2 linked regions of the Kluyveromyces lactis genome follow. The protein of the gene in region 2 interacts with the protein of the main gene of each other region in a biochemical or structural test. Links are inferred from orthologs where the notes say so. Each region holds a gene or a part of one and is shown on either strand. Other genes may lie near its edges.

The links. The genes of interacting proteins can lie anywhere in the genome.
Region 1: the proteins of GLN3 (region 2) and URE2 form a complex in vitro, tested with the Saccharomyces cerevisiae proteins (2 studies listed by BioGRID). The link is inferred for Kluyveromyces lactis from reciprocal best matches to the Saccharomyces cerevisiae genes GLN3 and URE2.

What each region holds. Positions count from the first base shown.
Region 1 is NC_006040.1:1,654,231-1,657,217, reverse strand, and holds URE2 (glutathione peroxidase), read right to left. Parts: upstream 1,673-2,987; coding exon 503-1,672; downstream 1-502. Other genes in the region: ELA1 (elongin A), read right to left, coding at 1-96; JJJ1 (Jjj1p), read right to left, coding at 2,260-2,987. UniProt on the Saccharomyces cerevisiae protein: Plays an important role in nitrogen catabolite repression. Down-regulates the expression of many genes involved in nitrogen utilization by inhibiting the GATA transcriptional activators GLN3 and GAT1.
Region 2 is NC_006037.1:119,911-124,195, reverse strand, and holds GLN3 (nitrogen-responsive transcriptional regulator GLN3), read left to right. Parts: upstream 1-1,465; coding exon 1,466-3,811; downstream 3,812-4,285. Other genes in the region: VRG4 (GDP-mannose transporter), read right to left, coding at 1-35; YEN1 (crossover junction endodeoxyribonuclease), read left to right, coding at 4,073-4,285. UniProt on the Saccharomyces cerevisiae protein: Positive nitrogen regulatory protein. Required for the activation of transcription of a number of genes (including the allantoin pathway genes) in response to the replacement of glutamine by glutamate as source of nitrogen.

The DNA.
Region 1 (2,987 bases), on a different chromosome or scaffold from region 2:
CCTATAGGGAATATAACTGATGTCTTCAATTAAAGTGTGATGTCGAAGTAATGTGATGACACATATTTCCTCTAATGTAAGCAAACGTCCACTCATACTGAAACCATGTGGATTATTTAAATATATTGGAATTTGTTTTCTGCGGTTTATGGCTAAACACTACGCTGATAATTCATGTCTCCGTAACCTCTTCCATCGACAGTTCTGCTTCGAAACGTAGAGCAAGCGAGTGATTCCCTAGCCAAAGTCAACTTTTTATTTTTATATATCTAAAAATGAAAAAAAAAAAAAAGGTATGAAGGATGTTCACGGAAACATTTACCTGAAAGGCATGCAGGGGCACAGTACTCCACAACATTCCTCAACTAATTGTAAATGTGTCTAATACTACCTTGATGCTCTCAAGACTACGGGTATTGTGTATGAATATAAATGACAGAGATTGTTACATTTTCAAGCGAGGTTATCATTGTATTCATGAATCTATATGAGGCTATATAATCTACTCTCCGCGTAATGCTTTAATAACTGCCGGTCTTCTCATCATGTGTTTAGTCCATTTGTAGACTTCTGGGAATTCGACTTTGATGTTAATTCCGATTCTATCCACAACATTATTCCATGGTACAAATGATAAATCTGCCACAGTGATTTTGTCACCAACAAGCCATACAGGATAATCAAAGAATCTACTTTGAGATAAAGGAGTAGTACCTGCGCTGTAGGCAGCCGCATTCTCTGAATCTAGATCCATGATCAAGGCTTCTCTTCTTTCGGCCAATGCCATTTCCACCACACCATATACTCTTCTAACCTCGTCGGTATACCGATCAACAGCACTCTTTACCTTTTGGGAATGGAAGTATCTGAAATGCAATGCCTGTCCAATCATAGGAGCGTGACCTGATGTTTGAAAGAACAACCACGCATTTATTTGAGCTTGATCTGCAAGACTGTCAGACCAAAGCAATGGATTGCCTGTTTCCTTGTAGTGCTTATTTACAACGTGGAGAATTATTGCACCTGATTCCCAAATCGATAAGTTTTCCATGTTATGATCAATGAGGGCAGGGACTCGAGCATTCGGATTTATGGCAACAAATTCAGGTGCCCTATGCTCTCCAAGGTTGAAATCTAAAAAGATTGTGTTGTAATGCATATTTAATTCGCTTAATACAATTGCCACTTTGAACCCATTCGGTGCCGATCTATGCGAGAATAGAGTGTAACCTTCCATAGGTTGATTCTGAAAAAACTTAGTAATTCTAGAGCTGTCAATCGGATTTGGACCCTGATACATCGCTTGCTGTTGTGACTGTCCTATTGGCATGTGGTCTTGCTGTACATGTTGGTGTTGAACCTGATGTACTTGCTGTTGTTGCTGATGTGCTTGTTGCTGTGCCTGTTGCTGTTGCGCTTGCTGCAGTTGTTGCATATGTAACTGTTGTTGCTGTGCTTGTTGTTGTAGATGTTCTTGCTGTTGCTGCTGAGCGTTATAAGCGTTAATGGAACCTTGGTTCGCTTCTTCCAATAACTGTTGCTGATTGAAATCAATGGAAATATTACTCTGATCAGTGGTGGTGTTACTGTTGCCCAGATTCACTTGACGAAGCGCCGAAGATAGATTGGAGATGGTGTTCCCTGGTCCACCATTTTGCATATCTTGTTGCATTTCGCTTTCAAAATTGTATCCTCTTTCTTATGAATACTCTTGCGATGCCAAAAAGGAAGACGAAACTCTCTGTTCAAAAGTAAACTCTCTGCTAGCTCTGAAACGCTATACTAAATATGAAATAATTCGCTACAGCTGATTTTGTACCGTTATCAACCACACTAGATTTGTAATCGGTCAGATACTTCCCATATGAACGAATGAAAGCGTTCCGAAGTTTATCTATGTCAGCCAAATTTAACATTCAGCTCCATTATTTTTTCTTCTATTGTTTTTTTAGCTTTTCACCATTCTGGTCATTTTCATTTCCAATTCTTCGGTGGGTCTGTCTGCGTGTGCATCGGTATTGTAACGAGAACTTCCGACGAGAAAAAAAAAGGAAAACTTTTCTTAGATAAGTCACCAAGGAAAGGCGTTGTCGTTACGTACGTATCCGGGTAAGAAAGTCTCAGCTAGAGCGAAGTACTGCTAACTCCAGTGGATGGACGCTCTGAGCATACGTCTAACGCATGGCAAGCGAGGACCAGTTTATGTAATTGCTATCTACATAGAAAATATGGATAAGGTTGTGATATTGACATTCTTTTTTACTTACTGTTGTTCCTGATATTCCGCTTCTTGGATCCTTTCTTATTAGTCGACAGTGGGGCTGCATGGTTTGTGGAATCTAAGTGCTTGAACATTTTGTTTCGAGTATCAAACTTAACACCACATGTTGAGCATATGAAACTATCAATGTCTGCCGAAATTTTATTCTCGGCATTGTTCCCGGAAGTGGTGTTTGAATCTATTTGTGTTGTTGAGTTCGTCTGCTTTTTTCTGCTTTTATTTTTTTTACCATTGTTCTTCTTTTTAGGTTCCCATGAAGTATCTGCGTTGTCTTTCTTCAAGGATTCTAGAAGCATTGCTAAATCATCCTTGGGCTCTGTGTCTTTATTTTGATTTTCATTCTTGGAAACTTGAGTAGCATTATTTGTTTCTACCTTTTGTGATATATTTTCATCTACTTCATCGTCAATGATATATTCAACATCTGAAATCTGTTTATCATCTTCAGAAGTTTCTAACATAAAATTGTTTATATTCGACTCAGTTGAGTTCAATGCGTCAAGATCTTCGTCAATTTTTTTCAATTCCGCATCTATATCAGAAAATGAAAATGTGTCGCTTTCCTCGATTTCTTCAAATTCATCAGGGGAGGATAGATGTATGCTTCCACTAGTTTCATTATCTGAATAGGTTTCTGATGCTGACTTGAATTCATCCACATCAGATATGTTGTCTAGCCCAAGTGCGATACTCTCCTGTTTCATTT
Region 2 (4,285 bases):
GACAAAGGCCCATTATCAACCTTTAATTGAGACATTTGTTATTTTCAATAGTATTTGAATTATCACGGATGTAAAAGTCTCAACAGTATGGAATATCAATTACAGTGATTTGGTGTATCAGAAAGTTCTTCAAGCGTTATCTTAACGGTCTTCTTTGTTTTCAACAACGTCCAAAATTCAGAAACGGAAAACCAAATTAAAGAATGATGCTTTAAATCAAACAAAATATAATTGACAATTGACCACGGTAAAAGAGGATTAAGTGGCTAAGGCAACAATACAATCTAATGAATCCTATCCCAAGTTCAAATTAAAAAACAGGTTTCCCAGTTGAAGTACCAGACACGCAATATTTATGTTGTTCACGCGTTAACTAACCGTATTCCTTATATGTATATATGCGTATTGGCATTTATTTATATATACAAAGTGAAATTCAAAGCTTTTTTTTCATCTTCAAAAAAATCGATTTCGTGCCTCTTGGGATAAATCTGTAAAGAATGTACATCGTACGAAGTGACTCAAGAAACGGTTCCCGACGTTACGGATACAATGGTCGAAAGCAAACGGTACACGGGATGCAGGCAGCATATTTATACCTTGCATCTCGTTAATGTTACAAGAATTTGTTAGTGTAAACATTAACTAATGGAAGAGTGAGGTGGTGGGTCTGGCACACCTTTTGATATCGTTCTTTTGGTTCTAATGATGAGAGAAAAAAGACGTATGCCGAAAAGTCTGGCCAGAAAAGCAAAATATCTGGTCATAGTGGGATGGGATAAGTGTCACACGAAATTACTGGTTCTAGTTGGACAAAGTACAGCCGAGGTAGAGCCTAGAATAGGAAGAGATCGACGTAAAGTTATTTGTAGAATACGTTGTTCCTTTGATAGGAATAATTCGGTGCCTGGTGATACGGTTGTATGACTATCAGACATATTTAATGTGTCGTCCCCAATTCTAGGATATACAGCATATACGAATGTTTAGATATGAAGATGACTATCCTAGAGCGTAAAAACACAGTCTATCTTTTATTAATAATTCGATACATTTGCTTCGTGAGAAAAGCAGTCTCATAGCTAGTTGTTTGAATTAAGACAGTCAGACTCATATGGTATGAGTCGATTCTGCTAAATTTTTTTTTTCTTTCGGTATGGAAACTATGAAATCTTTAAAATTATATAGTTTTCGAAAAGAAATAAGTGAACAAAGAAGGGCTTCACTGCAATAAGAAGTACAATGATTAACAAGGCTAAAGGGCAACAAAGGGTACAGCTGGGTCTTGAGTGTACCTTAATCAAAGAGATTATTTGTTATTTTTTTGGTCATATAAGGGGTACTGAATCCTTTTTATGATTATATTCAGTATTCTCTTATTATTATTTTGTTCATCAACTGTGGATATATAAGAAGAGAAATCACACAATCCACTTTTATCAACTTGATTAAATCTGTTCCAAAGATGTCGGACAGGGGTCTTCATGATCCCTTCGAACTGTTCGCTAGTACAGATTCTGGCGTGAGCCATGAGCCGTCGTGGAACCATACACAGTTTGATGCCATGTTGGAGATATTGCCTGAAAATCTGAACTTGGATGTTGGGGGACTGCAACAAGACACTTCGTCTCCTGTCGCTACTACTCTGAAATTCGAATCTAATACTACTACTACTACCATTACAAATGCTTCTATGAAAGATGATGGTAGCCCCGATGTTATTGGCGAAGAGGATGATGAAGGTGGCTGGAAAACACCTGTGGCAGAAATATCATCGCATAATGGGTTGAAAAGTAGGCCGATAGATATTGTTCAAAGTGTTACACCATCAACAACTGCAGGCCAGTTAATTGGGAACGACTTGAATTTGCAAAATGGTGAAATTGCTCAACTCTGGGATTTTAATGTCCATGAATTTATGATGACGCCGAGTGATCATAGTGATTCCGCAACGATAAGTGCCCCGTCATCTTTCAACTCAGAACAATTCACTCCAGGAACAACTACACCTGGCTTCAATCCCGCATCTAGCACGGCGTCCATAACTAATAATAATTACAATAATGGCAATAATAACGGCAACAATAATAATAATAATAATACCAACTCTAATTCGCATTTCCAAAACAGTTGGAATCACTTGTTACACCAGCAACATGATAATGGACCGAACAGCAGCTCTTTGGCGTACCAACACCCTAGATTATTCCAAAACAATAACTCTAGTCAGTCAACAATCAAAGCAGATGAATACCAACATAAACAACCTCAACTTCCGCGAAGAAGTAGTTCCAGAAATCTTCTTATTAAAAATGACATGAATGAAGATGGGGCTCTACCTCTACTTACACACACTACTACCAATCTTGTCAAGAAAAATTCCTCTGTGAAAAACCTTCCGACAACCACTCTACCTCAGTATAGAAGGTGTTCTTCGTCGACAAATATGCAAGTCATGAACGGACCTCCCGTGAACAATGGTGCTAAAGCAAATAAACCGCCAACGCAGTGCTATAATTGTAAAACTTTGAAAACTCCACTTTGGAGGCGTGATCCAGATGGTAATACACTTTGTAACGCCTGCGGTTTGTTTCAAAAGTTACACGGCACAATGAGACCTTTATCGTTGAAGAGTGATATCATAAAAAAGAGGAATACCAAGAAGAGAACCAAAAAAGATGACAAACCAGCATCAAATATGGAATTACAAGGACAGAATGATCATTCCACAAATAGAGGATCACAGTCTCCTGAGAAATTTCAAAGGAAACTTTCGGCAAAGCACACTTCAATTCAGCCGGCAGCTAATATTTATAACCAATCTGCATTAAGTCAAAACTCATTGAATAATCTCAACAAGAAGACGGCAACAAAATCCAGACGTTCCTCAACTTCATCCTCAACGTCCAGCAAGTCATCTTCATCAAGATCTGTTGTTCCAATTCTGCCAAAACCATCACCTGGGTCAAGGGAAAACACATTACAACAATTCCAATATCAAATTCAAATGCAAGTCTCTCAACCTAATAGCGCGGCATCTTCACCTAGATATTCGAATTCACCCAGGTTTTATCCAACGTCTCCTTCAACTGGTCTTGGTGTTTCAATACCCCGTCGCAAATCTTCGAGAACTCAAATATCCCAGTCATCATCATTTATGGCACAGTCACTACAACAGCTACAACACCAACAGCATAACTCCTCCTCAAATCATACTTCTGCAGGAATAAGCACTAACGGTAGTAACAGCCAGGCATCTACTGCAACTTCACAGAATGCGAACAATCTATCATCATCCACAAATTCTTCGAGCAACGCGACAATATCAGCACCGAATTCATGGGCCAATCATTCTCTGTCACAGCCGCAAAACATTGCATCACCCAACTCATCAAGATCACCGTTTGAGCTATTTTCAAATCCAAACTCCCAACCAAAGAAGTCACACAAATCTTTACTTTCCCAGCAATTACAGAATTCCTCTAATTCATCTTCAAGCTCCTCATCATTTGTTGAAAATGCTTCTTCTGGTCAACAGTTGTCACAAACACCACCATCACATCATAGCCAAACACAACAAAATTTTGGCTCTTCAGTACCAGCAGCATCGCCAAGAAGCAGTTATGTAGATACCCTTCAACAACAAAGAGGTATACTGCAATACGAACAGCAACAAGTGGCTAGACGAAAGACTCCATCAACCAGGCAATCCAACCCTTCATTGTTCGAATCATCGGGCTCGTCTCTTTCGAAACCAAAAAAGGAAAACAATGTAATGGATGATTTGGATTGGTTGAAGTTTGGCATGTAACAATTCATAGGATAGTACAATAATTTTTAAATGTAACCATAAGGCTTTGTTGAATAACTCATTACTCCTGTATGATTTCTTCTGCCATTCTCATATATTCTTATTTTGTAATGCTATCATAACTATTATATAGGAATGATTTCATCAAAAAAAATTAAGGTACAATACAATGCATAGGCAATTAATTCTCTATCGACTTAAATGAACAATGCTGAGAAATCAAGAAGGGTCCGCCGAACTGACAGATAAATAAATGGTCATATGGGATCAAGTGAATTATGGAACCAAATATCCCAGTACAACGTACCCCGTGTTGCATTTAAGCAATTTGTTGCAGAGTTTGTTGAGAAGAATGGAAGGTTCCCAAGAATTGCCATAGATGGATACTTATGGTTATTCGAATGCGGGTATTTCGATGAACCACAAAACAAATCGAAGACATTGTTAAATTGGTTAAGGAAATTAAAGGAGATG